4 linked regions of the Arabidopsis thaliana genome follow. The protein of the gene in region 3 interacts with the protein of the main gene of each other region in a pairwise test. Each region holds a gene or a part of one and is shown on either strand. Other genes may lie near its edges.

Region 1 (7,188 bases), about 14 Mb from region 3:
CATAAATATTTAATAGATTAAAAAATTAAAAAATTGTAAATACTCTAATTTGATTATTTAAAAATAGATATATAATTAAAATATTTATAGCATGTGACATGTTAAACGTAATGTATTATATGCTTGTTTAAATAAGGTTTGACACTTCTAAATATTTTAAAATTTGATATTGTAAGCAAATTTTCATTAGAATTCTAAAATGAAAACATGGATTCCATGCATGGGTTGAATTTGGTATTATTATATACCAAACATATGTTCATACTATATTGGACTATGTAAAATTCCGTAATTATATGAAACAAACTTCTATTTCAACAACCAAAAAAGTTAAAATTCAAAAAAGATCTCCTAAATTAACTAAAAAAAATAGCTAACTAGGACTTATTGCTATTGATTCCATGATCCCTATACTTCCTTAGTTAATACATTTTAGATATGGTTCATTTATAATATTTAGACTTTTGATATATGCAATCTTATTTTGTTGTTGCTATTTTTTTTTTTTCACTTACTATTATAATATATGAAAATTTGATTCTGGAATATATAATATATTAACAAAAAAAATTTTAACCCATGTTGTAGCATGAGTCATAATCTAATATGTATATATATATATGTATATATATATATATATATATATGAAAAGAAAATCTTTATGTTGAGTCATGGCAATAATAAATATTGTTTGACGTTGGTAGATTGTTTTTTTACCGTCTGATTTCCTTATCTTGTGCTCATCCACCGACTTCTCAAAAACAAGAGGAACCAAAGACTCATGGATTTTAATGGGAGTACGAATCTGGAGATTGCGAATTCCAAAAAGAAAGAATGTACCCACCGTTAAATACATCTTTATGCAATTTGTAGCACACATAGGGAACAAAAGAGAATACGCTGTCACTAAGTCACATTGGTTGATTTTCATCTTAAAAAGTTTTATGAGTCTCTAGATACGCTACATATAGGTAATAAAAGCATAAAAGTTGCGACTAAAAATTTGTAAGATACACCATAATCATCTCTCCAACAAAAGATGGCAAGAATAACCACAATATGAAGATATGATGAGACACAATCCATGGGATGTACAAGTTGCGCACACTGGCAGGGCCGGAATATCTATTCATTGATGTCAAATAAATTTTTACAAAAACTGCAATTTTCTTCTTCATACACTTGTAGTATGCAATTAGTATATGGCATCCACAAAATACTAAACATTTATACCCTATTTACTTCTGAAAACTGAAATTTCTATAATAGATTTTTTGAGTAATAACTTGTTTTGGAAAGAAAAAAACATAATACTTTATATATATTTCTAACATTAAATAATATACAATTAATCTTGGATTTATTCATGATTTACATGTTAGACCCAATCTTAACGCCTAACAATTTATGGAGAATTAGTGCTAAATAAATTTACATTAAATATCCATATATATACTACGGTTCAGATATTGTTTAAAATTCGGATTATTTTTTGCATGTAATAATTTAAAATAATTATAAATAGCAGAAAATAGAAAATTTTCAAAATTTATTCCAAAAATGGCCACTATAAAAAATATTTTCCTCGTTATTTGTTAAAATTTGATAGGTTAGCATTAAAACAAAAAAAGTAGTTAAATAATTAATTTGACGAGTAGTAAGAATATTTGATCAAAATGTATTTAACATCTTTTAAACAGAAAAAATCCTTTTTCTTATTATCCTTTTTATAAGTATTCTAACTTTTCTATAATAAAAATTATGTATATTATCATATATTCATAGATTATATTTTTCATGACCTATTTAAAAATATTTCCAAAAGAAAAACTGTATAAAAATATTATTATTTTTGTAAGTTTTAGTATTCTTATTCACAACTATTCTGACTTATTAATATATATATATATATATATATATATATATATATATCAATATATCATGTTATAAAAAAGTAAATAAAAAATAATTAGTGAGCGAATTAAAATCGGAAAGATATTAAAATACAAGACATGAACAAATTAACCCAAATAAATTTGTAGAAAACCATTACCGGTTTACCACGCAACAAACCTAAGATTGGTCATATACCAACTAAATAAAGTGAAAAACGTTATTTTCTGTATGCACGACCCTACACTTGTCTTAAATTTAAGAAGGTTTTGTTTAGGACTAATACAATCTCCACTTTATTGAGTTTACCAAAAATGAAGGCCACTGAGAACACAAGAGGAGATGACAACATCAAGATGTGCTAGAGGTAAAGCCAGCGCCTCGAGCAGGACAATTCAGATGGCTAACACCAACACCAATTACTTCCTGAGCTTTATGTACGGAAATGAATCAGTATTTGAGGATCGTGTATTCGCTTCTCGTTAATCCGACTTTAAGTTATTGGTTTCCAAGCTATATGGTTCAAAATTATGGAAGGTTACAGTTTTCAGTTTGAGTCAACTCTTAACAATTTAGGAGAGAATTTGAAGGCCCTGTTCTTTTTCCAGACGCTGCGATCAAATCCAGCGACCAAAAAAACAGTTGTTTAACACACAATTACGTTGAAGTCTATAGAAAGTTATGTGGAGAGGAATCACTCGATTCTAAAAACAGCGACCTATAAGGCATATACACGTGTTGCCAAAAATAACAGCGACTCAACATCTTCACTAGAGACGTCGCCGGCGTCCATATTGAGCGACTGTTTTTGTATCTCTGTTAAAAAATTTGTCTTCGTCGGAGTCGTTGTCGCTGTCGCAGCGATTAATAAACGAACATGCCCGAAGTTACAGAGAACAACACCACACACTATTTGTAAAATTATGAAGCAAAAAACACATAAGCTAATGAATACTCAAGTCTTGTGAATTACAGAGTACATTGAAAGAAGCTAACAGAACCATTGAGAAAGATTCAAAGTAATGGACATAATTTGAAATTTTGAATGGTTAAACGCAAAACATTTCTAATTCACTCAGCTAGGGATATGTGATCATCTACTGAAACCCACGTACTTGGTGCAAATCATCACTTTTGCAGTCAATTACCATCTTTCTCATGTAAACTTTAAAGCAACTTTCATTCCTCATCAACTAGATTCTTAATTACCTTACCAAAAAAAAAAAACTAGATTCTTAATTACACCTTCATGATCTAACATATTGAAACAAAAAACTATATACAAGCTCATATGAAAGTGTCTTAGCATGTCCCAAAGTACAAAACTTCTGCAATTTTCATCTCTCAAATCTCAAGTACCAAGAACAAAGAACATCAAAAAGCTTACATTGTTGTTGTTGATCATCATCTTCTTTCACGATCTCAAGTTACACATTACATGATCTAACGAAACATGTACTCAGCCTAATCATTGAAACAGAAACTATATACAAAACTCATGTGAAGTGTCTTGACATGTCCCAAATCTCAAGTAAAAAGAACATCAAAAAGAACGTTGTTGTTTATCATCATCTTCTTTCAGCAGACCTAAGACGAAGTTCTAAAAGCCAATGGTTAAACTGACCATCACTAACCTTCAACATCTCAGACAAAGGCATCAAAATCCCATGTTCCTTAAGCAATCTATGCCTTGGCTTTATCTTCCTCTCCAAGCTAAACGAAAAATACTGAGGGAAACGTTTCAGCTCCTTAACATCTCCACGCATCTCCTCAATAAAAAACTCAACTTTAGGAACTAAATTGTTATCAACACTATAAGTCAACAACGCCGGAGATCTCACAACCATCTTCGCTACTTCTTCTCTTGTAAACCCTAACCCTTCTTCAAGATACTCAATTTTGGGGATTAGGGTTCGTTCCACATTCGATACAAGCAACACCGTGTTCCGTGACGTAATCGTGTCGCGACCCACGAATCCTAGGGTTTTGAGGAACGTTAATGCAGGACGAAGCTGATAATCTACAGATGAAATTAGCAATCGAGGACAACGAGAGATCGATTTAGGTATGTCTTGCTCTGAAATTGAAATCTCATTGGATAAGAAGCGAAGAACTGGTAAGATTTCAGATTCAGGATCAGAAGTTAACAAATCTGGAAACATGTCGAGGATACGACCAACGGCGGGTCTTGAGAGTCCGGTGGAAGAGAGTAGAGTCTCGACGGAGACGACGGAGGAGATTGGAGCAGAACGGAGAGATGGGTTTACTCGGAGAGCTTTGTGAGGATCTACGTTAAGGTCTTGAAGGTAAATAAGCTTCTCCCGGAATAGAATCCCAGTATCTGAAGTTTCTCCGGCGAAACATCTAATCCTCACGGCGGAGAAACACGGCGGCGGAAAAAGAGAACACCTTGCTATCATCATCGTCGGTGAGGTAGAAAAAAAAAGTTTCAATCTTTAAAGTGTGGATAAAACAATGGAAGAAGGGTAAAATGGTAATTCTGGTGTAACGGTCAGATAAAGATTAAACGACGTAGTTTTTTGGTTGAGAGTTGTTTCTGCTTGTTCTTCTTCTTCCAATGAGGATCCCTATTCTCAAGCGGCTTAATCATAAGACCGGTTTTTGCGCAGAGTCTGTTAACCGCAATCATCTTCTCTGTCTCTATCTCTACCTCTGGTTTTCGATTCTTCGTTTCGAAGTTTTTTTTTTTTTTCCCTTTCTTCTTCAAGAGGTCCTTTTTAAGATCTCGCTCATGGTTAGTATCAGCTTGGCGTTTGAATTTGCCTCTTTAGGTAAGTTTCCTTTTCTTCTTCTCTTTCCTTATCTCTTCTTAATAAGGGTTTTCACAATCTCTCTGTTTTCTTCAGAAAAAGATTGAATCTTTATTGAAAACCCAAAGTGATGAAATTGAAATTCATGATCTGGGTATTATAGATTGCAGATTCTGGAAACGTATTATGTTAATGATTCATTTCAAGTTTTGATTTTTTGTGTTGGATTGAAGAGAAGAATAGTTTATTGATGTTTTGTGAAGAAGAAGAAGAAGAGATTTTGATTTTGGTTTAATATATAGTTGGGGATTAACAGGATGGGAAGGGTAAAATTGAAGATAAAGAAGTTAGAGAACACAAATGGACGCCAATCTACATTTGCTAAAAGGAAAAATGGGATCTTGAAAAAGGCTAATGAGCTATCTATTCTTTGTGACATTGATATTGTTCTTCTTATGTTCTCTCCTACTGGCAAGGCTGCAATATGTTGCGGTACACGAAGGTAATCTATCTAATGTGTCTTCCTTTGTTTTGTTTGTTGTCAACATAATCATTGTCTCTCTTGGATTGTGTTATCTGAATGTATTATGATTGTTCTTCAGTAGCATGGAAGAGGTGATTGCTAAGTTTTCTCAAGTAACACCGCAGGAAAGAACGAAAAGGTTTGGTGTTTTCTTATCGATATGTTTTTGTTTGTTTCTCCGGCAATGGTTGGTCTTGTTTTACTCATTGGTTTCATCTTTTTTGAATACAGGAAGTTCGAGAGTCTTGAAGTAAGTTTATTTTCACATAATCAAATGAAGTTTTTGGTTAATTTTGATCCTTGAGAATCTCTGATTTTAGATGTTTCTCTTTCGAAAGCTCAGAACTTGAAGAAAACTTTCCAAAAGTTGGATCACGATGTAAATATACGCGAATTTATAGCCTCAAGGTATGTCCGGAAACAGTTTTATATCAAAATCTCTTGCAAGAAACTCTATATGAATATTAACTTCTTTTCTTCTCTCTTGTTTGCTTTTGGTTCTTTGGTTTCAGTAATTCAACAGTAGAGGTATTGGTTTTAAGACTCTCTTTCCATTTCTAACGTCTATGACATTTGCCAAAGCCTAAATTTATACAAAACAACCTTTTTTCAGGACTTGAGTACTCAAGCAAGGATTCTGCAGGCTCGGATTTCTGAGATACATGGAAGATTAAGGTAAAGATCTTGCTGAGGATGATAGTTCTTTGTTCTCTTGATGTCTGTGCTCTTTTTTATACTTGTTAGTGTCATGTTCTGCAGTTATTGGACGGAACCAGATAAGATTAACAATGTTGAACACTTGGGACAGCTCGAAATTTCGATTAGGCAATCCCTTGATCAATTGCGTGCACACAAGGTATCTTTTGTTTAAAACTTTTCCATTTCACTTCATCCGCGAAACAAAAAACTAAAAACTCTTCTGTTGATAGGAACATTTTGGGCAGCAGCAACAGGCAATGCAAATAGAAAACGCAAACTTTGTTAAGGATTGGTCAACATGCTCGGTAATTTACTCGAATGACTCTTCTTTAGTTCTCATTTGTAACAAAACAAATTGTAAACCCGGCTGTACAACTTTCAGATGCAAGATGGGATTCAGATTCCTTTAGAACAACAGCTTCAATCTATGTCATGGATTCTTAATAGCAACACCACCAACATTGTCACCGAGGAACACAATTCAATCCCGCAGAGGTTAGTGAAAACTCTCACCGAGAGAACTTTTCTTTCTTTTAATATTGAATCATATCTTAAAACCAAATCTTTGTCTATCCTCAAAAGGGAAGTCGAGTGCTCAGCGAGTTCTTCATTCGGGAGCTATCCAGGCTACTTTGGAACAGGGAAATCTCCTGAAATGACAATTCCGGGTCAAGAAACAAGCTTTCTTGATGAACTAAACACCGGACAGCTGAAACAGGACACAAGCTCGCAGCAGCAGTTCACTAATAATAATAATATCACAGCATACAATCCCAATCTTCACAATGATATGAATCATCACCAAACGTTGCCTCCTCCTCCTCTTCCTCTTACTCTTCCGCATGCTCAGGTGTATATTCCAATGAATCAGAGAGAGTATCATATGAATGGATTCTTTGAAGCACCACCACCTGATTCTTCTGCTTACAACGACAACACCAACCAAACCAGGTTTGGTTCTAGCAGCAGCTCCTTGCCTTGCTCAATCTCAATGTTCGACGAATACTTGTTTTCCCAGGTAACCAAAACAAAACTTTCTCAGAGATTCTAAATGGGTTTTTGTTTTGTAGACTGATTTGACAATTTGTTCTTCTTTCTTATAGATGCAGCAGCCGAACTGAGAGAGATTTGATGAATGATGATAAAACATCTCACTGAAGAAACTCAAACCAATATTTTTTTTCAGAAACAGCAAGAAAGCTAAAACTCTGCCGATTTCTGAATTGGTTCCAAGAAGAAAAAAACCAGTGGTAATCCCTGGTAGATTGTGCAACCAAACCACACACAATACGTGTTCATTTA
Region 2 (9,327 bases), on a different chromosome or scaffold from region 3:
TTTCTCACCACAAACCATCTCATCAAGCTCTTAAAAAAAGCAAAGATAGAGAAACAGTTGTCAGAGGCTCATCGAAACAAAGAACCGCAAAACAAGATGTATCAACATGGAAAAACAGTTGAGGTATTAAACACAAAATCTCAACCTTCTTTGTCGTTAATTAACACCAAAGCTGCAGCTCCTCCTGCCTGTGCAACTTGAGCCTTAACTGTGAAAGCACACTCGCCACGTACAGATAACGCTATAGACCAAGATAGCTGCAAAAGGAAAACATCACAACAACAAAAAAACTCATCTTCACAACAGTGGTATTTGAGTCCTAGCTAGGACTGTACGATATAAGATGGAAAAGAAAAAGGAAGACCTTTGAAGTTAAATTGGAGCAACTGTCCAAAGGAGTGGTAAGAGCAACCGGAAGTTTAACAGCTTTGTCTTTATCAGACGGGAGCATGGTGCCAAACTGTGCAGTCATGGCGGTAAAAGTCTCACCGTTTTCTCCGTTGACCCAATTCTCAACTTTGACCTGGACAATGTTCAATAATCAGTAGTTGCATGAGCGATCTGATAATGTAGAGAAGTTTTGTTGTACATGAATCTATTTATAGACAACTGGTAATAAACAGAAACAGAGAAACCTCAATATTGATCACATAGATATTGTGGGGAAAAGGAACAATGCTTTATATCATATCAATCAATTTTTATCAAAATCAATGAACAAACTACCCCATCCTCATCATCAATCGATTTCAATAACGGATTTAACCTAAACCTATTGAAATTTAACAAAAGCTGCATTTGTGGTTGAATGCAATTCCAATGAAGATTCAAATCAATCAATGAGATATATACGTAGGGTCCGTTAGACAAAGGCAAAAACGATTCCGGTTTAACCAAATCTTCGCACGAAATTAAAAAGTGAAATTCCATAAAATTAATGATTAGGAACTCGAATTGGGGAAACCTGTTACCATTTGAAATTCATTGGAGCAACCAGGAATTTTGGGAGCGGTAACATCTTTCGTGTCAGCTCCGACGCACAGCAGACCTATCAGATAGAGAGCCGCCGCCGCCGCGAGAAGGCGGCAAGTAAACGGAGGTAAAGACATCGCCACCGTGAGAATTAGATAGAGAGAAGAAAATTTGAAGAATTGTGGGACAAACAAAAAAAGGGAAAGAAAAGATTATTCTTGGTTCATGTTCGTTGTTACAAAAGCAGAGAAAACTCGGTGAAAAGCCATCTCTTTTTTTCTTCCCCTATTTGGATTTATTTTCCCTCGCTTTTCCCAAATAATGACAAAAATCACAAAACCAACCAATCAAATTTAGTTTCTTTAAAATAGGAAATAACCCAAGTAGAATGAATAGATCTTTTGAATGTTTGCCAAAATTATAAAAGGAAAATTAATGTGACCAAATAAATTACAGTTCATGAATTTCTTTTCTTCCATGAGTCAAAGAAAAAAACAAAAATTTATATAATAAAGTTACAGTTGTGAGAAATAAAAAAGGATTATTTTGGTGTGGTATATCATCAAGTGGAAGAACAACAAGAGAAACCAGAGCTTTGTTTGGAGGCAGAGTTATCATCCTTAACAAGACTTACCCGATTCACGGTGAGTTCGTCTTTATAAGTATCTGAGTTGAGTTGCTTACGGCTCACGTTATTGTAGATATCAAGTATCACCATCTCGAAAGCTGTTTTAACATTAGTCGAATCAAGAGCCGATGTTTCCACAAAGAAGAGTCCTTCCTCTTCGGCTAGAGCCTTTCCTTCCTCCACGCTCACTGCTCTTATGTTTTCTAGATCACACTTGTTCCCCACCAGCATTCTCGCCACCGTCGTATCCGAATGGACTGAAACAACCAAGAAAAGAGCAAATGAATCAATTTTAGATCTCAGACCAATCTAAAGATGTTCATTATGAGATACTTTCCTAAGCGGTTCTTGAATAATCCTCTGTTATGTTCTAGCTAGGTCACAAATTCTATAATCTACCAAAACTAGATTCAAAATTTCCCAATTCTAAGTCAATCCGTACGACCTAATTAGATCATGAGGATCCCCTAAATCGATAGTCAATCGCATAATTCACATCGAGACTTACTCTTAAGCTCATCGAGCCAACGTCCAACGCTTTCGAAAGTGGTGCGGCGGGTAATGTCGTAAACGACGAGGGCACCGACAGCGCCACGGTAATAAGCGGAAGTGACGGCACGGAAACGCTCCTGACCAGCAGTGTCCCAAATCTGAGCCTTGACCTCTTTACCTTCAATCTCCATGCTCTGCGTCTGAAACTCGACTCCGATCGTCGCCTTGGAGTTAGCGCTGAACTCGTTACGTGCGTAACGAGATAGAAGATTAGATTTACCGACGGCAGAGTCGCCGATAACAACAATCTTGAAGAGATACTCCTCTCTTCCTTCGTCGTCCGAAGACATCGCTCGCTTCACCGTCTTCTTCTTCTTCCCTAGGTTTCTAGAGAGAGAAGTAGGACTGGTTTGGAGAGAGAGAGAGAGGGAAAGAGGAGGAGACGGAAGACGGTGCAACAAGCTGGCACAAGAGGACATACTGCGCATTAAGTGCACCTTCTTTAATGTCGTTACCTTTTTCTTTTTCTATATTTTCCTCCAAATTATCAGTTTTAATTTACGACTTTTCCCTGATTTGTGTTTTTGGTTAGTTATTTTAAAATCCACCACGTTGGTGGACTTCTTGGTAACGTAGGAGGGAGTTATATTTTTTTAACTTACAAAACCAAAGTGTATGTATAACTAAAGAAATTTCATCTCTAATAAAGAATAAATCTTTCTCTGTAACGTGCATACACGCTAGTTTTGTTAATAATAGGAAAGTTAATGCTACTAATAGTATTCCGGTTCATACATTTTATGCCAATTTTCATATCAACCTATATCTATTTGCATGTTTCTAACTACTACTAAATATATCATAATTCATTATATGATCAACGAGATTCACTTTGGTCTTTGGTACGTGAATTCTGCTTATTAATGTTTTCATTGGTTCAAGTAACTTTGGTATTTGGTCCATTTCTTCAATTTTAAAAATAAGAAAAATTAGCGTACCTTTAATTTCAATATTCAATTCAGGAACTATTTATGAAGAAGTATAAAGAAAAGAGAGATCAAATTAGAAAGTCATATATATAATGGATGCTAGCTTGCTTTGCTTATGATCATAACTCGAATTAGTTTCAGAATTCATAGCATAATCCTTACAAAATAGGCGACACTCAAAACATAAACTTGAAACAAAAACATAATGGACAATTGTCACTGTTCTATCTTATAATGATAACGAATGAGGAGCTTAATTATAAGAGGATTAGACATTTAATATAATCTATTTTATTTACATCTTCTCTAATTCTCTCATATGATAAAATCGGAACAATGCAAATAAAATTAGGATGACCCTACCTTTGGGTTTGAGCTAGCTTGGTTTCTCACTGCACCCACACGTGCAATTCTCTTGATCTTTTTTCAAATTCTGCGTTTGTATATGAAAATGTGTTTATGTATCAATATGGATCATGAACTAGAGAGAACTCTGGAAATGGATTCAGCTGACCTAAACAGAAAAAGTAAGATAAGGGAACCTGAAGTTGATGCTGAAGGCCTTTGATGTGTTGTACAGCTAAATCCAGCATGTCTGAATAGCTTGTTTGCTAAGAAAATCAGCAACAAGTGTGTGAGGTAATGAACACTTTTTCAAAATGATGTTACCATATATACTATATATATTTGATATAAAGTAACCTTATCCATGTTGGGGACAAGATCTTGTAGCTTCTTTAGCTTCCCACTTATTCTCGTTCTCCTCTCCTATAATATAAACATATTGTATAGGTTAAGATAGGAGGATGGCAAAAAGAATAGGGTCTACATGATTAGGGACGATCAAATTTGTTGCTAAATTTAGTGAATTAATTATCCATCGCTAAATAAATTAAAAAGTGTTTATAACTGACCCGCTCAGCGATGCTTCTAGGATGGGTGGCGCAGCCGCGTTTGGCCCGGATTTTGCAGGGTACAGAATCTTCTGGAAGCTGCATGAAGTTATCCATGTAGTTCATTGAAGTGTCTGAAGGAAGACTATACTGCAAAACCAGTGATAAAAATATTCGGTAAGAATTGGCCACCAACAAAAATGTATGGCCACTAAAGAGTTTTGCTGCATTTACCTTTACTAGTTAATTTTTTTTTTTATGTCTATCCTAAAACAAATATTTTACATTTTTTTGTCCTTTTCTAGAAATTTTGAAATTTCATATAATTTGACTAAAGTAGCATGTTTATAGTAATAACACATGAAGAAAAAAAAAAAGGAATCCCACATGGAAACAAATAAATTGTACCTGCGAAAAGAGACCAGAGTCCATGTCCTTGGATCGTTTACTGGGCCTAGTCACGGTAAACCCTATCGAACCGGAACCGTCATCCCAAGAATCAGTAGTGGCTGCACCAAAGCTAGCCGCAGAAAACGAATGGCCTGAACCGTCGTGGACTGGGGTCTCATTGACCTCGTTGATCCGAGCCAGAGAGTCGTGATTCGTGAAGCTTAGCTGAGACTTCAATCTGGAATGTCCTCGTCCCCCATTAGACCCTCCTTGCGGACTATAATCACTGGTTGGTTGGTTCAACGAGAAATCTGATTTACAAAGTAAACTATATTATAATGACATTACGTGAAAATTATTTTTAAAAATAATTCACATTCACATCCAAAATATTAGAAACCATATAATGTAAGTAAATAAAGAGGGATTTTTGGATAATATGGATAGTTGAATTCCGGTTCAGGCCGGTGACCGGTTAGGTGTGGGAAGTCACATCCAGGCTTGGTGGAAGATATTATGATTAGATAACAACGAAGCAAAGCACGAATCATCAGGACCAAGGAAAAAATAATATAAAAGTGGACAGATCAGATCCACCAACTAGATCTACATCGCTTTCTATTTGAATAATCTTCATCACAACCAATGATATTTCGCCATCTCAGCAGAGAAACTATTGGTCATCAACGAAAAAATCCATCCTCTAAATAAATAAATGCAACTTGAGATATAGGAATCCTCGAAGATTTAAATAATATCCCAAATTAAGGGTAACCGAGCCACATTTTTGCTGTATTTTCAAGCACGTGGTTAGGGATCAAATGGTATTTTCGTCATTCCGAAAATACGAGGATCACGTCTTGCACAAGTACCAACCAAGCTAATTTAGCAACGACCCTAAATATCAAAGCTCACAATGTCAACTTATTTTATATACATAGTCGTTAATTAACTTGTAAGAAACTAGATACTTCACAGTGAGAAATACCGAAAATACCCTCGTGGTTAGATTTTCATTTCACCAAAAAACGGATCTTTAGTTGAGCAATGAATGATTGAATGACTGAAAACTATATAGCTCATATTCTACATTACGATTTTTGGCAAATTCTAAGGAAAAATGGTCTGAAAATGAGTAAACTTGTCTGTCTAAATATATATATCTCATCACAGTTACTATTCTTGAGTAAAAAAAGGACTAACTGTTTTTATCTGAGGCGAGGTAGGTGAAGAAATCGGCGGGAGAGCTACGTTGTCTAGCGAGAGAGTAAGATCCTGAGCTGTTTCCTCCTCCGATGTCGTTGCTCTTGTGTTGTTGCGAGATCTCGTTGAATCCACCGTAGGATCTGTCGAGGAAGATATCTTTATTACTATTATTATTATTGTTATTGCCTAGCTGTTTCTGTCCGTCGGATGAGTTGTTGACTCCACAAGTCGTCGAATCGGATCTCAGCGAGGATGAGTCAGCAGCTCCGGTGAAAAAGTTACCGATGAAGTTATCCGACGACGGTTGATAGCCGGTGAAGTCACGAGCGTTTGATGAGCCTCCTCCGATGACTTCGTCAACCACAGAGTTTAGAAACGATCCCGGAGCTGAGCCGTAACGGATCAGTCCTCCGCCGCCGGGAAGCGATGATCTCTGCGATGATGATGACGTGGAGGATGATGATTGGTACATGACTTCTTCTATCGCCAAATGGAGAGAGAGAAATCTGAAAAGTTTGGTTTCTAAAAGAAAAATAAAAGATGAGAGAGAGATGATGCTTTTGTTTATGGGGTAACAAAAAGTCTTCACTTTTCAGCGATTGGCTATTCGTTGGATGTCACATGTGTCTCACGTGATCTTCCGAAAGATATGGTATTAAATTTAAACCGAAATAAGCCAATCAAAAACCTTTATTAATACTTATTTATTTTGTAACGAGTCAGCTTAACCTTTGGGCTTTGGGGCCGCGAATATGTGGGCTGGGCTTGATAAAAAGATAAGCAACATTTGCGATGTCTTTGATTAAGTTTAAATTTCCCAAGATGTTGAGGTTTTCAGTGGAATGCAATTATTTTTCTCTAGTGTATATAACTCACATTGTTAATTTAAAGATTTCAAGATCACAGAAATGTTAAAGGTAAAAATTAAAATGATTCGATAAAATTCGACTTAATTGCTTAATAGTAAATTGAACAAACATAAATGCTTATATCAAATGCATGGTTCATCAATACTTTTTTGACGCAAACCTTTTTCCGATTGTAATTCAAAATAGTTCTGTTAATTTTTACCTAAACAATTAATATTGTTGTTATTATTATAAATAGAGCCCACAAATATGGACGTTTCCTCTTTCACCAGTTATTTTCAAATTTTCACAATAGTATATGAACTTCCACAAATGGAAAGAAGTAAAATTAAACGAGAACTCATCTTGTCTGAATTATATATCCATAAATTGGTGTGTAAAATGGAGTCGTAATTAAGATGCGTACGGATAATTAGCTACGACTGTGACATGCAAAATAAAATAAACGTTTTTCTGAAGAGTGAAACACATCTGATGCGCATGCAGGAATGATACACACATTGGTCTCCAAACGTACGTGTTTTTCTAGCCCCACCCTTATTGACCCCATGTGATTCGTAAGAAATCGAAGCTGAAATTCAAATTAGTTACTGTTCTAATTGTTATATATGTCTTTATTTTTATTGTCGAATGATGTGATCTGTAACCAAACTTCCAAATTCAAGTTGAATTATTTTCTTTCTTTCTTTTTCAACAAAACCTCTCGTGAACAGAGAATCCACATCGTGAACAAAACCTTTTTTCGGTTTTATGTTATATATAGAATAAGCTAGTGCATATATTTATAGATGAAAGCTTCCAAATGAGAAATTAAAAAGTTAAAAAAAGACCCTCGCATAACACGAGAAGGGACACATTTACAAATAAAAATGGGAAATATAGATAAAGATTGCATGTATTAATTAATATCTCAGTGAGTTTATTAACATTAAACCAAAAAAAAAAAAATATCTCAGTGAAAAAATAAATATAATTTAATATCTCCGTGAGTAATATAAAGACTCCGAAAGAAAAAGAGAGTATATGGAACTATTGCTGACGTTGTCTTTGACAAATAACATAGACAAATTGTATATATATTCGATGATTAAATTTGAGCATATAAATAACTTTATATATGAACTTTGATCATTTAGAACAAAAAATCAAAATATAAATTATACACTGTAACGATGTTGAAGATTTGACAAATGATTCTTATTGTTTTTTTTTTTTTTTTTTGCTAAATATGATTTCTTATTGTTCATTTTTAATCTTACAGGTTATAATGACGTTGAAGTTTTGACAAATGGCTTTGTCTTTGGCCATTATTTATATTTATAATCTAATACGTTGGTACCTCACGTCACTTCTACTATAATAATATACAATAACCAATTAACCATAACAAATTAATAATAGATGTCTGTTTTTATAACTAATAAAACAAAAAAAAATACATCTATCGATTAGGACTAATGGACTATAATATAAAAAGATACACAACAATGCTAATATGTACACGCCTGATATTGGATGATGTCCCTTTTTTTCATTCACAATTTTGAGTTCTTGTACTTCATCAACAGTTGAGAGCTTTAACCTAAAGAAAAGTATTATATTGTGAACTCATAGTAACTAAGAGAAGAAAATAATTATTTTTGTTCACATTGTGATAGATGAGACGCAATAATTTATCTTGGATGTGGAAAATATACTTTTTTGTATTAGGTTTTGCATATACATCTATATATGTACATTTCTTATGCTACGTAAAAGATAGGGCAATAATTATTTTGTCCTATCTTAAAAAAGAATCCAAAATTTTAGCTTGGATCAATCTAGACCTAAAATATATTATAATACAACATATGGTTGGATATAGAACAAAGTAGATATGCCGCATTGGTCGCTGCGTTTGTAAAATGCAACGCTTGACGTCGTCCCTTACTGAACATCAGTTCACTTGTTCTGTTCAAAAACTCGCCGCCAAAATTGTCTTCATTAACCGCCAATTTCGAGCATCTCGGACGGTTTACTAGAGTGATGTAAGTCTCGAGGTCATGGACACAAGAAATGTTTTGAACATCGAAGAAATCGAGGGTGAGTTCGACTCCCACGTGAGTGTAGCAAGAACAGCTCCAAGGAAGCTCGTAAACACCACCTAAAGATCTGAAATTCTCATTAAATAAGAAACCTGGAAGTTTGGTGATCGGATCGTTTACATTCGTGATCCTCAAGACTTTAACTCCTAGCTCCTCACACCGTTTTTTGAACCCCAAGTTACCAACTCTAGGACCAGCAAACGAAAACACGGTCACCGGAACAGGTTTTTCGTCCCTTCTCTGGTTCATACCGAGTTCCGCTATGTCGTAAGCTAGAAGCTGAGCTAGAGAACTCCCCATACTATGTCCCGCAAGTGTTATGCTTATTTCCTCGCCTTTGTGCTTGTTCATAAGCCTCGAGATCTCGGAGAGAAGCTGCTCACGGCAGCTTTCTAGCCCGAATTTGCTCTCGCTCTCACCGGATGTGTATAAACCTAAGAACCCGGATTCGACCTTGACATCAGGACGAGGGTTATGAGGATCAAGCCTAGCCGGAGTCAAAGAGCTCTTTAGGTTAGCTAACCACTCATGGTTGGTGACAGTGCCACGAAACGTCACCAAAATATCCCTCCTTCCCAAACGTTTCACCGATTCATCAGAAGAAACCGCTACATAACCGATCCAACGTGCACGGTTAGGCTCGTTCTTGATAGGGTTGAGGTTGATGTCTGGTGTGGCGTAGATATACTTGGTGACTTGGTAGCCATCAGGGTCATGGATTCCGGATTCTTTAAGCAAGTTCTTTTTTCCATACTTGCAACTCAAGTAACGTTTGGAGTTAGGGTTTAGATCAAACCCTTTGTA
Region 3 (7,450 bases):
GGAAAGGCGTTCCAGTTTTTGACATGGGAAGCCATATGAGCACAGTGGATGTCGGGTGGGGTTCTCCAACATTCCACAAAATGGGAAGAGAAAAAGTTATTCTCATAGATTCTGTCTTGCCTTTTGGTTACGAGCTACTTATGTGTGACACTGACATGGTGTGGCTTAAGGTGCTAATTCGACAGATTATTATCACTGTTATTCATCACGTTATCTTCCTTAATAGACTTTCTTCTGATAATTTATATGTGACAGAACCCTATGCCTTATTTGGCTCGATTCCCAGATGCTGATGTTTTGACTTCAAGCGATCAAGTTGTGCCTACCGTCATAGATGACAGTTTGGACATATGGCAACAAGGTAGATGTTAGCTATAGATATGCATTTTCCCCTGTTCCCATTTGAATTCGTTTATCACTCTGGCAAAAGTGTTTTGAGTTTATTATTATCAGCAGCTAATCTGTTCACATGGCTACTAACTGTTTTCTCTACCGTTCTTTTCTTGGACTTTGAAAGTTGGTGCTGCCTACAACATAGGAATTTTTCATTGGCGGCCGACAGAATCTGCGAAAAAGTTGGCAAAAGAATGGAAAGAAATTCTCTTAGCTGACGATAAGGTTTGGGATCAAAATGGGTTCAATGAGATTGTTAGGAGACAGCTAGGTCCATCTGTGGAAGGGGATAGTGGACTTTTCTATGCTTATGATGGAAATCTCAAGGTTGGAATTTTGCCAGCTAGCATATTTTGCAGTGGTCATACTTATTTTGTTCAGGTACCTTTCTTCATGCTTCCTGTTTTTGTGTTTTATTATCATCCTCTTTTCTTTTGTGTTCAGAAATGACCTAACAGGTAACTTCTATTTTCGATGGAAGGCTATGTATCAACAACTCAGGCTAGAACCATATGCCGTGCATACAACATTCCAGTATGCAGGTACCGAAGGAAAACGCCACAGGCTTCGAGAGGGGATGGTTTTCTATGACCCACCAGAATATTATGATTCACCAGGTAATATTCTTTCTGTTAAGATTCTTCAACATTAATCTTGTTAATGGGGAAAGCCAAAATCAACATTGTAAACTCCAACACAATGCAGGAGGTTTCATTGCGTTTAAACCATCGATTCCAAAAAGCTTGTTACTTGACGGGAAGCATACCATTGAATCGCATTTTATCCTCGTTAATCACCAAGTAACAACTACTAACCTAACATGATCCCTCAGAACTATATGCTAACTTGACCACCTTTCTAATTTTACATCCACCTTTGGTCCACTTTACAGATGAAACAGATCAGATCAGCTCTAGCCATTGCATCTCTTCTTAATCGTACACTGGTGAGTCCATTCAACAGCTTAATGCATATTTCCTGGTGATAATGATTGATTCTTATATATAGCTGGTTGGTCTCTACAATGTTATCAGGTGATGCCACCAATATGGTGCAGGTTAGATAGGCTTTGGTTTGGGCATCCTGGTACTCTTCAGGGATCTATGACCCGACAACCTTTCATCTGCCCACTTGATCATGTCTTTGAGGTAGTATTTGTAATGATGTTGTAACATGTCAATATCTGATTCTTCCTCTGCAAATGACTCATAACAGCTGAATAATTTCAATTACAGGTCAATATCATGCTTAAGGAGCTACCAGAGGAAGAGTTTGGCCCTGGGATTGGTATCAGAGAGTATTCTTTTCTAGATAACCCATTGCTGCCAAAACAAGTAATATAGCCGCCCAGATATATTTTTCTAATTAATCATTTCATAGAAAAAATGTCAGGAGTGAAAATATTTTTCAGGTGAAAGAGTCATGGCTTGATGTTCAGCTTTGTCAAGAAGGAAAAGAAGGATGCGAGGCATCAAATAACACTAGCCCCTCTCGGGTTCTTAAGTTCCCAAAGCGGAGCAATGAAGATACGGTAACTAAGATTTCATTAGCTATCTATCACTCTTTGTTATATTTCAAAATCGCTGGCTTAGCCTTATCGCCTTGTTTTGTGCTCACCGCAGTTTAAGGCGATATTCTCTTCCTTCGACGATGTCAAAGTGATCAAGTTTTCTTCAATTGAAGATGCTTTCATCGGATTCTCTGACAAGGCAAGTAGATATTTAAACCGTGAAAACATTTAGACATGTTGATACACCATGTAAATCTGACCTGACCGAATCGGGTTTGCAAGCAGGAGCGAGAAGAAAGATTTAGAAGACGGGTAAAGAGATATGTGGGAATATGGTGTTGTGAGGAGAACAAGACTCCAGGACACATTTACTACGATATGTATTGGGACGAGAAACCTGGTTGGAAACCGGTTCCACCACAGACACCAGAAGAAGATCATCCTCCTCTCTGATAACATTACTGGCAAGAAGACTCCAAGAAGCTTACACTCGATTTCTTGGGTCACAAGGAGACAGACTTAGGGAGTTTTTTTTTTCCTTCTATACGGCCTTTTTATACTACTGTGGAACTGTATCTTTCTTTTCTCTGTCTCACTCAATGTATCATGTTATAACCATAGGTTTGGACACAGAAACTTGTTTCTTCTTTTCATATAATTTCTCTGTAGATTTTTATATTAATAAATGGCTTATTTAGTTGTTTCACTTTCATACTTCAAAAACCACGCAGTCGTGTTCTGTTGAATTGGTATATTTGGAAATAAGAATTATCCTGCTGAGAGATAATGAGATGTGAAGGAGTCCATGCCATATTGAGATGGAAGAAGATTATAGTAGAGATAAAAAAGTTCCAAGACACAAACCACCATTAGCTAAATTGACTTTGAACCATCATCCATACATAAACCGTCTAAGACAGATGGGAACTGGCTGGTAGTCTATATATAACCAATAAAGATCACCCATAAAAAGATACAAAAAAAGAAGAACCGTTTCTTGGATGATATAGTAATAGAAGCTAAGGAAAATGCAATGTGGGAATCAAGCAGACTTAGGAAAATGTTGAGACAGAAGTTTTGAAATCTCGAGGAACCCGACAGTGTCTTTCCCACTGAAGATCGTCTTGAGTTGCTCATCGCATAGTATCTCCCTTTTGTTCACCGGATTCTACATCAAAAACCAATAGTATGTGTTGGAAAACAAGAATCTCTAAAACATAGAAATGTAAGACCAGCTAAGGCTAACAACACGATCAAAGTAACTTCCATTAGCTCGTAAATTTCCCTAAAAGCAGTGATTTCTTCACTCAACATAAGCAAGAACATATAGCTACAAAAGTTAGGCTTTGAAATGTTGACTCCTGAACAAATCAGATATCCAAAACATCAAGATCATAAGCTGCAGTCACAAAGATAAACTTAATCACCGAATTAAAGGCTAATCACAACACCTTGTTCTACCATTTTGAAGAAATCAAGTTACTTCAGGACAACACAAAGCCTCAAAATTTCTACGAATCTTCCTACACCCAGAAAAATGCTTAAGCAGATACAGTCAAACAAGCTCTATTAGATCAATCAATCACCCACGTGGCATAAACAGGTTATTAATTTAAGTAACGAGAGCTTAATTAAAAGACAAAATCCAGTAGAACTCGCAGAGAGAAGACCCAGAAATGTTCGAGAAGATAAAGCAAACCCTAACCTGAAGATTGTTAAGCTTGATATATTCCCAGATTTTCTTGACGGCAGTTGTGCGAGAGACTTCGTTTTCCCCAATAAAATTAGCGAGCGGCTTCGAAACGGGAACCACCTTAAGAATGCCAGTACCTTGTCTACCAGTTTTAGCGCCGGTGGAAGAAGCGGCCTTCGCCATCAGTACCCTGCAAGCTCCGAAAACCCTCGACATTTTTTCTTCTTCACACAGTTTTGAAATTGGAAGGAGAGAGAGCTCTGTCTAAAACCCTAGATCAAACTCACAGACTTTGAAAACTGAAACGTTTCCCAGTCTCTCTCTTTCTCTCAGCCCTTTAAAAATTAATGAAGGTCTGTGGTTTAGCTCTTCTTAGTTTGGGCCTGTTTTGGGCCTCCTATTGCACCAAGATTCTGGGCCTTTTTGGATTTATTTGATAAACAAAACAACAATTCGAAGCCTATAAATGTCAAAAGAAAGCAATGGCATTCATCGGTCTATCATGTCATCCAATCAAAAGATACAATTTTCCCTACATAACAAATTGAACAAATATTTGATAGACATGATTCTATGTTTTTTTGGGCAAAACACATGATTCTATCTAAAACAAGAGAAAACGATTTAAAGCAAAAACTTTGATAAAGAGATCCAAACAACAACTAAAAAACGTTTGTGACTGATGCGACCGTACCCATTGGGGGAGTTGTATAGTGTGTAAAATCATGACCGTAACACGACCCGTTTGAACTAACGTCATCCAATTAAAAGCCGCCACTAGGCTACTTCCTGCACACGTAAGAGAACTCTCTCTCTCTCTCTCTTTTTATCTCCGTCACCGGCAAACACCAATGGGCCCTCCCTGCCGTCTCTTATCGAGACCAAATTTCAAGGTTTACTCAAAGAGAAAGAAAAAAAGTATCTCCGTCAACTCACGTCGTAAGTAATCTAACGCCGTTAATATCTCTATATTTTCCTCCACCTTATAAATTACTCACGGTCGGTCCTCCAAATGCCTTCTCTCTTTCTCTCCGTCATACTTCTCTAAACAAAACCCGGAGCTCCGTAACAGTTACTGGGTGACCCGACTACCCGGATTCTTACCCCGTGATTTATGCTTGTATTTAAAGTTCCTCTCCAGTCGAAGAGTATATTTCGCTGTTTCTTGGAGTTTTCGATCTTCTCCGGAGTAATTTGGCTTCGACAGAGCGGAGATTATCTTCAGATTCTGATTTGAATTCGCTTCAAGAAGACGTTGCGGTTCAGGTACGACTCCGAATAACCCTCCATTTAAAGATTTTCTCGTGAAATTTTCTAAGCTGGTCAAACCTTTTTTTGTAAAAAAAAAATTTCTGGAAACCAATCAGATAATTTCTCTACTGTTACATTCTATTACTTCAGTATCTACAGGCTGATTTAAATCATCGTTCTACGTGTTTTGTTTCTTATGCTTCATTTTTGATGGTTAATAACAAACACATTACCCAAATCTATCAATTTTTTACTAACCAGATCATTCATGGCAATATTTATTACCACATTCAAAAGTTTCCCTAGTAATATTTGACTAGACTACTACTGTTTGCTACTTTACTTTTGCTTTTTACTCGACAAAAAAAAGGGAAGAAATTGTGTTTCTCCAATGAAAATAAAAGCCATTCATCATAATAATCAATTACGTCGTCCTTTTGCATTTACTTCATATTACTACTGCGCCTGTAACGCTGCTAAATCTCTGCAGCTTTGTTGGGTCTATTATAGGAAACAAAAAGCAATCCTTAAGTTTCAGATATACACGCTTGACGCTTAACCTTGCAGACTTTTCGATACAAGGTAAAACACACTAAACCCATACTTCAATTTAATTCCATTCATTACCTCTGATTTTTTTTTTATCTACTGGGTTTTGAATGAAAACAACTCATTTTCTTACATACTTTCGATTTTATTCAATTTTTTCGACATGCATTAAGATTGGTCCATCATCACTTGAACCCAACTCTTTCTTTAATTCTTTCTCTGTTTTAGCTCTTTCGTTTTTTTTATCATACACGTGACTGTTACAGATTCCATTTTGTTGCTAAGTTCTTTTTCTTTACTTCTGGCTGTAATAAATTCGAGTGTCTTCATACTTTCAGTTTTATAGTTTAAAACAGTATTTTTGGACACGAGTGATGAGAAGAAACAAATTTTTGTTTTTGTTTTTTTTATAGAATTGTATATTTTTATTAAGCTCTCTAATATTTAAATGTCAGAAACTTCGGCTTGCCGGAGAAATAAATATTCTTTGAAACTTTTGATTTATGTGTGTGACGAGGAGATGGGGTCTTTACTTTGGTATTGCTGCTCAACAAAGCATTTACACACTCAGTTTCGCTTCTCTATTCAGACCCACTTTCTTTGTTAAAAAAGAAAGAACAGAAACTATATAATTTTAATGTCATCCCTTGTCTCTATCATGATCATATTTCAAATATTTTTATTGTTCCAAAGGTTATAATTTGATCCATTCAGGTGCCATCGACAATCCTTTGAAAATATATTTTCTCTAGTGGTCCTTTTCTCTGATCCCCAAGTTGTATCTTTGAACACTTTTGTCTTTATCAAGATTATTATTGCCCCTAATTATGTACCTCCATAGCTTGTTTTTATTTTAATACTACATATAAAACTTGTATCCCTCTCTACTTTATTTCATGAGTTCCTTAATTTCATGAAACATTTTTAGGGATATAATTCTTTAATCTTTATGGCTTACTGCATAAATCATGTGTCTCAACTCATTCTTGCATCCTAAACATTTGCTTCATCTACTACTACTATTCTAGGAATATATCATCCTTCTCAAGAAATTTGTTTTTACTCCTTTAATCTTTATTATTGGGGTTTCACTAACTTATTATTAGTTGAGTTGCTTATCCAATTAATTAATTAAGCTCTAGCATCATTAACATTTTCATAGCTTTGTTTTTTCTTTTATATAGCTACCTTTATTTATGAGTAATGGTTTAGAAGTTGTGATGTTTAATACACTCTGTTTCTGTTTTATGGCTCATAGGGTTTAAAAGGCAGAGAACATAAAAAAGAGTGCAAAGATGTTTACTTGCATAAATTGCACTAAAATGGCAGACAGAGGTGAGGAGGATGAAGAAGATGAAGCGCGTGGGAGCACCACTCCCAACACTAAAGAAGCCGTTAAAAGCCTAACTACACAGGTCTCTTTCTCTCCCTAAAGATCAATTCTTTCCTTTGTTGATCCTTAAGACTCTTTTTCACTTTACTTTTGTTGCTTTTTTCCTAATTGCCTTGGTCTTGAAATAAACAAAGCCAAATTGAGAAAAATGGTCCTCTTAAACTGTTTTAACAATTGTAGTGAAAAGTGAAATAAACAGTTTTGAAATTTGGCTGTCAAGTACAAAAGTATAGAGGTTACTGTAGTTAAGGCTGCAGGTTACAAACAATATTAGGATCTTTAGACAAGATTTTACAGTGATGCAACATCACTTCTCTGGAATCTATTACAAATCTCTCTTTAATAGGTTATGTCAGTGTTTTATTTTCTGCACTCTATGTGACTAGACATAAAAAATCTAGCAACCAATTTAGTAAAATAATTAAAATATCAAAATTATGTTTCACATTGAATTTACCAATGTAGTGGCTGATGATTTGTGTGGAAAAGGCTAATGGAGTCACGCCTTGTTGAACATGATTTTTGCTTGTTATTGAAGATTGATCTATATACTTTCCTAGAATAAGTCCCTAGTGGGTTCTTATTTAGATTAGGATGGTGGGGCAAGTATATAGTAAATCAAAAGAAGCAAAAAAAAGAAGCTATGATTATGTTCTAGTCA
Region 4 (8,288 bases), on a different chromosome or scaffold from region 3:
CGCTCTGGTTATCGCTGTCAATTGTCATCTGAATTAGCTTAGACTTGTAACCTTGTACGTAACATGTCAGAGATATTTTGCTTCAGTTTGATTCTCGACTATAAGAAAACGTTGTGAACTCCTAAAATATATAACCACTAAAGATGATTGTACGAATAAGTGTCGTGTCGATATAATTACGCTTCTGAGCATAATTGATGGATTTGACCTCTGAATTGTGTCCACACACCATTCATTCATTATAAAGTACTCTAGATTTACAACTTCAATAGAAACTTTGAAATATGAAGATTAAAAGAGATATTTGAAACTGATATATTTATATGGCTAGCTAGTTCCCACTTCAAACATCTACATGGTATGGATATGGAATGTGTGTTAAAGTTCATGGTATGGATTTACGATCGTTTAAACAACTTCTTATAAAAAAAATTAATAAGGATATATTTATAATTTTCTATATGTGATGTTTAAGTATTCAAATCATGAGTGGACCAAGGTAGGGGTAAGATATAAATTATTAAATTTAAAGAACTTATAGCATAACTTGTAAATTTTGGTGTATTGACCCACTATAACCATGTTCGATACTCACATTTCAGTTAATAACTATTTTTTAATTAATACTCTCTCTATTTCAAAATGTAAGAGACATTTTTATTTTGTTTCATATTATAAGATGTTTTGCAAGGTTCTATACAAATTTAAATATATTTTTATTATTTTTAACTATTTATATGCTGTAATATTTTTTATGATTGGTTAGATTTGTTTTTATTAAATACAAATCATATTTTTTTTTTAAAAAAACTATCTAAATATTTGTATTTTTATCTTAAACATCTTATATTTTAAAGTAAAGGGATTAATAGTTATGTTGTATTTAACGAATTTTGGGGTCCGCCACTAATAGATTTTTTTTTGTTTTTTACCGGCACGGATAGAAATCTTATGACATATTCTATCCCAAAAGAAATAATCAGGCAACAAGCTTTTAACTACAAAAGTTCAAAAATATACGTACCCAATAACATTTATAACTAGATAGCAAACGTAAGGAATGTTTTACCACATGTACAATTCTATGATATAGGATTTTATCATACAGACACATGCACACAAGAAGTCATTTCCTAGTTGTACAATTTATAAGTATATTACGTGGAAGTGATAAGAGTGAGCATATAAGTGTAGTTGAAGCATCCAAGTTTACAAAGGGTCCATTAACCAAAAAAGCAAAGCAAACCAAACACGGTTAGCTAAAAAGAAAATTGTACTTTAGGAAAGAAGTGGGTGATTCTAGTGGGTCGCACCAACGCATTTCGTTTGATATGTTTTGTTTTGAATTCTTATAGTCATTTAGAGACTAGAGAGATCGTGTTGAACTAGAGCTACATAGTATCATTTGCAGTATTTTTTTTAGTTAACACCGAGTATCGAGATATTTTCTTATGGACCTTTGGGTTAACACCAATAATTTTCAACATGGGGGTTTGAACATGTTAACTGTTTTGATTTTTCAAATCTAATGAAAGTTAAAATATCCTTTGATTTTAATCTAATTTAGGATTCTATAACTGGCGACACTTCAGTTCTCTGGTTTTAAAAAGTTGGCAATTCACCACTAGTTCTTTAGAAGAAAAAATCAACGGTGTTCTAGCCTACAACCGCTTTTATATATGGCGATCAATTTTTTTGGTTCAACATCGTTGAAGCCAACATTGGCCTTAGTTTCTCCACATCTTTGGGTATTAAGCAACTTTTATTTATAGATTTTGTCGCATTCTTTTGTCGCTAGCATCTTTTAAAATTTTAATTGATTTTTTCTAATGATTGGTTCAATATTTTTTTTAATAAACATAGATTGTAAGTGAGATTTCAAATTTATCACCAAAAGGAAACATCGAATTCTTTAAGAAATTTCCAAAAGTTTAAAAGTGTCGGCCATTTGAATGTGGAAGATGAAAAGGAGTTAAAAAGGAGAAGAGTCGATTAAAAAGGAGAGTGACAACTTTCCAACCCCAAATTGTTTGCTTGCTTTCTTCCAACTCTCTTTGTCCTCTTCCTCTATCTCCCTTGGAATCTGTGTGCGTCTAATGTCTCTTGCTGCTTCTTTTACTCTCATCAAATCTATAATCTCTTCTACTTAAAATCCCATATTATCTTAAAGAAATTGAGGATATCTGATTTCTTAAAATATTTTTGTGTTGATGAACCAAGACTTCTAATGGGACTATGCATTTAATATATGTCATTGATAGATGAGTACTATTTTACACGGTGACACATTATTTTAATGCATGATATGTTACTTGATACCTCATCAATATTTCTGCGCGAGAACGAATGGCATTGTCATCAAACCGGACAACAAAGGTTTTCATCAAACCAAACTCTAATTTGCTGTCTTTTTTAATATAAAAACAAACTATAATTTGCTGATAGTGATGTTAGATTTTTTTTTCTTAAAAAAAAAAAAAAGACACACACGGTGAAATGAATAATGTAACTGTAGAATAAGAGAAGGGTTATGAAATTGATGGTCTGCGGCATCGTCAGATTTAAATATCGTACGTCTTTTGTAAGGTCTCGTGATTACAAATTTCACTCGTTTAGATTTTGTCCCATCATTTTTCTTTGGTCCTTTTAACCCGCTCGACCAAATCATGACATATGCAGAATTTATTTCATGGATTTAAACAAAAATAATGATTTGTTTCATGGAAAATGTCCTTTTCATTTGTGCTATTCCATTTATTTCTTCCCACTTCTGAATATGACGACTACGACCACATGGTGCCAGTACCCACGACTAAACTATATAATATACAATTTATTTTATTTTTCTCCATACAGAAAAATGTTGGGCCATAATGATATTATTTTTTATATAATATAATGGATATTACCCATTTTTTTACATCTCATTTACTCAAAAAGTAAACAAAAAACCTCAGTGGTGTTTGGTTGCAGATTTCAAAGTGAGCTAATGATATAGATTCCAGTTTTTGAAAACATGCATGGGTTCTTCTGATCAAAATTCCAAATACAAAAAAAAAAAATATAAATTTTTTTAAAAACAAAAACAAAAAAAACAGGTAGACCAATTTCAATTGTACTGTTGCTGATCAAGCCATGGCCAAAAACCAGAATGGTCATCCATTGCACAGAACATGTTACTGATACTATTCTCTTCTTTAACCATACTCTGTCCTGAAGATGAGTTTTGAAAGAACTGCATTGTTGTAGTAGTTGTCGTTGCGGTGGCTGGCGACGGTGGGAAGAAGTGTCGACCAACTGTCTGTGGTGGCGGTGGGTGGCCACCGGTTAATGTACTGTCGTTTGATGGCGGCGCAGTTGAGATATCTAGTCTGAGATTATCTGAACTGTTATCACTTCTGTTACTGCAAGATCCTTCAGTTTCTTTGTTTAGATTTATTGATTCTGTTTGTTCTCTGTTTTTTAATCCCATTATCTGCGTAATTAAAGACAAAATTTTAAACATAAACAGAGTTACTGTACAATGTGATAAGCATAAAGAAACTATTGTTTTCAGATCTCTTTCCAGACAAGAGTGAAGAAAAAAAGAGATAATGATGTCTGAAAAGTCATGAATCATGTCCAGTTTTTTAACCCTACCTGAAAGCAACTCCTGATCCAAATAATTATAAACCAGAAATATAATTTTTAACCTTTTTTAAAAAGAAAAAAATCATCCTTTAGATGGAAAATAACTGTAATTATTGATCATTAACCCAAAAAAAAATAACACATATTGATTTTTTTTGTTAATTTATGAGATTAATTACCTCAGCTTGGAGTTTCTGATTATGAGTTTGAAGAAGATCATTTTCAGCTTTAAGTGTATCAAACTGTCGTTTAAGAGTATCATAATCTTTCTCTAGCTGCTTTGTTTTCCAACGAGCTCTTCGATTTTGAAACCAAATCGCGATCTGTCTTGGTTGCAAACCTAAGGCACGAGCTAGCTGCATTTTCCTCTCTGGTTCAAGTTTGTTTCCAAGCTCAAAGTTCTTCTCTAGTGTCTTCACTTGTTCCATGTTCAATCTCCTCTTCTTCTCTCCCATTTGTGACCCATCATCTGAATAATCCTCTTCTCCATTCATATTGTTCCCTGTTTCTAAATCACAACACCCTTCCATTGGAGATCTCTTACCTAGAAACGAAGCAAATCCTGAAACAGAACAGAACAGAGCATTAGAAAGAGATAGAGAGAAAACAGAGGAGATGTGTGTGGAAGTTTATGTATATATACCATGGAGATCTTGAGGTAGAGAGCAAGAAGGAAGAAGAGGAGCAAGAGATGGAGATTGATGAGGATGATCATCTTCGTAAGAGGTTTGGATCATGAAATTTGAAGGGAAAAAAGACATTCCATTATTACAAGACATCTTCTTCTGTTTTGCAACAGAAGTTAGTACTGTTTGCTTGAGATTTTGGTCGTTTCTCTTTAGTTTTTTCTTCTTGCCAATCTTTGTCTTAAAGCCATTATCATGGTCTTATAAATCTGAAGCTCTTTGTGTGAGAGTTTGAAATCAAATGGAAAAAAAGAAGAAGAGGAAAAACAAAAGAGAGAGAGATAGTGAAATGTATCGGCCTAGACTATACCACTTCTGGTATTTAATTTCTTCTTTATTTCGTTTTATATAGAAAGGCTGAGAGAGAGAGAGAGAGGACATATGAGCTGAGAAGAGAAAGAGACGCACTCAATTGATTCTCTCGTTAAAAAAAATAAAAATAACACGATCAAATACAAGCTTAAACTTCATTTACGTTAAGCCAAAGTATATATAATTATTAACTCCAATTTTATCTTCATTTTCGACAATCGTTTATAGATAGATATTTTTTTAACCATTGTTGGCTTCCAAGTAAAAGTGGGATCCAATTTAATTTACCCTGGTATATACTTACTCTTTAGTCTTTAGGATAGTGGATTATTGTGTGGTGCGCTGAGATTCATCTATAAATAAAATTTGCATCAGACCACAACAAAAGACACAGTTTGAACTTTGAATATGATATTGAGGTGTAATATCTACTTTTAGTTGGAGATAGAACAAAAAAAATGGGGTTAAAAAATAAATAAATGTAATTGCAGATTAAAAATCGTAGAATTGACCAAAACATGTAATCTTAGTGTTTTCGTTGTGTTATTACTCATATCAAATTGGCATAATCCTAAATATTGTTGAAAATGAAAAAAGGAAGCAAATTACAAGGGGGTTTAGCTTGCGTACAAAGTGGAAAATGAAGAGATGATAATCAAAATGGTAAGAAGAGAAAGGACTCTTCTTTTTCCCCTTGGGAGAGACATGCAGAGAGGTGTTCTCTCTCACTCATCATACTTGTCCTTTAAATTTTATCTAATAACTTTTTCTTTTATTAGATTTGTCCTTTTTTTTGTAAGTCCAATTCTCATCTTAAATCATAACTATCAAAGTTGTGTCTCTCTCTCTCTTTTTATCATCTAAATTTATTTCTAAAGAACTTAATTTACAATTTATTTTTCGCTAAATCATTTGCATAGGCTGAGAACATATGTAATAAGTAGCTAACTAACGCCTTTCATACTTCTATTGATGTAAATTAATTTCATATATATAATGATGTAGTGATATTGGGGTAGGGACGAAGCTGGATAGTGAATGGGTCCAATGTTGATCCTATTTAATCACGCTAGTACGTATGGACTATATATAGACCCATCAAATAATCGTATTGTGTCTACATGGATTGACCTAGACCTGTGGATCTAGGGATTGTACATAATTTTATTTTATTTTTTGTGGGAAGAAGAGAGAAGTGATATTATTGATTTTCAGATGTTCTATGATGCTAGTTTTGATTATTTTGATGTGAAAAAGGAAGATTGAAATATTTAACAAAAGAAGAAGATAATAGCTGCACTTGTAAACCATAGTATAACTGTGATTTTTTTTTTAGTCGGATATATAGTTACTTTAAATTTGTTCGTTTTCATTCTTCAAATAAAAACGATTGCGGGTGAATTGGAAAGATCAAGGCAGTCAGAATAACATCAGAGTTCATAAGAAAATATATTATTTTAGGTGTCCGTCTTACACCACCCACCTTATCTAATACGGTCTTCATTCAGAACCTTAGTTTAATCTTTTAGTTCAGAATATGGAACGTATATAGTTAATCTTTATAGGTAACTGCTAAAGTCTATCGCTAAAAAGGTGAAAAAGTAGAAATTAAACTAACAAAATATAGTAGTGTAGAATTTCTCTATATGTATTGTTACTTCGTTTTTATTTAGAATTCATCATTTTTGTATGAAATTAAAGTTCAATAAGTCTAAAAAGTATGATCGGTCCAAACATAATTGAAATTTGGTCTGAAATAGAATGGAAAAGCAATCACCATCTCAAAATAGCGTTTAAACGAAAAAATTATATTGAAACTGTAAATAGACTTACAATATATACAAAAGCATGGATTATACGTATGTCCATGATCAACAATCTTGTAACATGTATTTGAAATTCTAGATCATGTCTATGAGAATCATGGTACATCAAATCTGATCTCATCAAACCTATTAGCTTTGACCTAACCTATCAACCGCAAGACAGATACCAAAACGAAACAAGAAATCAATTGACTACTGGTAATGCTATATGTATATATGTAGAGTAATATTGATTGACCAATTACAAAAAAGTTATACAATTAGCAAAATAACAATAATAGGAATAATCAATAAGTATCACAAAAGTAAAATTCTCGCTAAGAGAGAAGGGTTTCTCGTGCTATGTTGGCCGATTGATTGGTATCATATCAAATGGAAGTGATGCAAAAAATTCCAAATGCATTATATTAGAGAGTTACAAATATAAAATCTAATGATGCAATTTCTTAAAACCCTTTTGTTGTTTTCCATTTATTTAAAGTTCATATATATAACAGACCTGTTATATGTTAGATAGCTTATGTACACATGAATGCATATGTGCGTGTGTATATGCATGCATAGACAGACGTATAAAGATGGTGCGTGGGGTACTTAGGTTAAGGAAAAAACCAAACAAAACTACTATTTGATTAACCCCACATAAGAGCTGTTCTATCTTGTCTCTCCCTCCTTTCCTCTTCCATTCCTTTCCATAATCAATCTTTCTTTTTATTTTATTTTATTATTTTCTTAATTTCTCTTCCCAACATCCCTTGTGCCGTATTCATCGATGATGTTTACTCTAACATCATCAACCACATAATTATTAACATTTTAACGTTCATTTTCACTTTCGATTAGACTACTATTCATTACTTTGAGACTACTTATCCGTCTCTAACTGACATTTCACGCATCACATCGTGCCGTTCTGCAATCAAAACTTTTGTATCAAAGTACTTTTACTTATCCATGCATACATATAGCTTCACAAATACCCGAATATTTATTGAATGAGTATGATTTAATTTTTATTTTGTATGGAATGTGAATGACCCAAAAAGTTATTTTTTTTTTTGGTAAGGAAAGAGAAATTAAAGAAGTTATAAACAATCTGGTTTTTAGAAGACGAGTAAAAATTGTTAATTTCAACTAATTATTTTTAGTACTCAAGTATATATTATATTTATTGGCAAAACATAAAAGATGTAAACATCTAGATACATTTTAATCCATTCGAAGAACTTAACAAAAAAAAATTTCATACATTATATTACATTCGGTGTGGTACAGATCGCACGGTCAATCAATCTAAAGATCACTTGCGGTGATTGAGCGACGTTGTATGATTTTATCCATACTTCATATTGTTTACTGTTATGATCCATTCTTCACAAGATTGACTAGACGCGATATATGTGCACTCTTATCATCAAGAAGTGAAATATAGCGTATGATTAGATATGTGAATTTAAAGGCTAGTCTTACAAGTTGCTAGCGAATTTGGAAAACTTGTATAGTCGTTTTTTTTTTTCGGTATGATCACCCAACTTTGACGTATCTATTTCAGACACTATAAAAGCATATGTTTCGATTACTGTTTATCCAAATGGAAATGTCTCGCCCAAAACCTCAACATGAAAGTCAGGAAAGTCCAACAACGTAGTTTTCAAGAAGTCACAATATGTCCCTCCTCTCGTGTCACACCACTCCTAGTCCTAGCGAACTAGCTGCATAGTGTAAAATACTTTATATATGAAAAACTTAGACATAAATATATATATACGTGTGCGTGTGTGATGCATGTTTATTGTTTTTTATTCAGGCCTATATGCATTCTACATGTTTTAGA

The links.
Region 1: the proteins of AT2G35605 (region 3) and EMB93 interact in a two-hybrid assay, tested with the Arabidopsis thaliana proteins (one large-scale study listed by BioGRID).
Region 2: the proteins of AT2G35605 (region 3) and AT1G05805 interact in a two-hybrid assay, tested with the Arabidopsis thaliana proteins (one large-scale study listed by BioGRID).
Region 4: the proteins of AT2G35605 (region 3) and ATHB13 interact in a two-hybrid assay, tested with the Arabidopsis thaliana proteins (one large-scale study listed by BioGRID).

Annotation. Positions count from the first base shown.
Region 1 is NC_003071.7:896,633-903,820, forward strand, and holds EMB93 (Mitochondrial transcription termination factor family protein), read right to left. Parts: upstream 4,368-7,188; 5' UTR 4,317-4,367; coding exon 3,462-4,316; 3' UTR 3,058-3,461; downstream 1-3,057. Other genes in the region: AGL30 (AGAMOUS-like 30), read left to right, coding at 4,982-5,166, 5,267-5,326, 5,419-5,437, 5,531-5,595, 5,700-5,715, 5,801-5,862, 5,947-6,043, 6,117-6,191 and 2 more.
Region 2 is NC_003070.9:1,741,558-1,750,884, reverse strand, and holds AT1G05805 (basic helix-loop-helix (bHLH) DNA-binding superfamily protein), read right to left. Parts: upstream 6,442-9,327; 5' UTR 6,043-6,441; coding exon 5,568-6,042; intron 4,676-5,567; coding exon 4,383-4,675; intron 4,125-4,382; coding exon 3,996-4,124; intron 3,850-3,995; coding exon 3,784-3,849; intron 3,693-3,783; coding exon 3,624-3,692; intron 3,515-3,623; coding exon 3,458-3,514; 3' UTR 3,151-3,457; downstream 1-3,150. Other genes in the region: SPPL5 (SIGNAL PEPTIDE PEPTIDASE-LIKE 5), read right to left, coding at 1-29, 146-257, 365-523, 972-1,109; RABA5E (Rab GTPase-like A5A protein), read right to left, coding at 1,535-1,857, 2,109-2,580; DGL (alpha/beta-Hydrolases superfamily protein), read right to left, coding at 8,266-9,327.
Region 3 is NC_003071.7:14,942,523-14,949,972, reverse strand, and holds AT2G35605 (SWIB/MDM2 domain superfamily protein), read right to left. Parts: upstream 3,933-7,450; 5' UTR 3,813-3,932; coding exon 3,609-3,812; intron 3,072-3,608; coding exon 2,946-3,071; 3' UTR 2,697-2,945; downstream 1-2,696. Other genes in the region: XEG113 (xyloglucanase 113), read left to right, coding at 1-170, 256-361, 518-774, 875-1,010, 1,099-1,193, 1,286-1,339, 1,428-1,541, 1,629-1,727 and 3 more; BRXL1 (BREVIS RADIX-like 1), read left to right, coding at 6,692-6,811.
Region 4 is NC_003070.9:26,255,287-26,263,574, reverse strand, and holds ATHB13 (Homeobox-leucine zipper protein family), read right to left. Parts: upstream 4,788-8,288; 5' UTR 4,410-4,787; coding exon 4,274-4,409; intron 4,193-4,273; coding exon 3,810-4,192; intron 3,476-3,809; coding exon 3,110-3,475; 3' UTR 2,794-3,109; downstream 1-2,793. UniProt on the Arabidopsis thaliana protein: Probable transcription factor that may act in the sucrose-signaling pathway.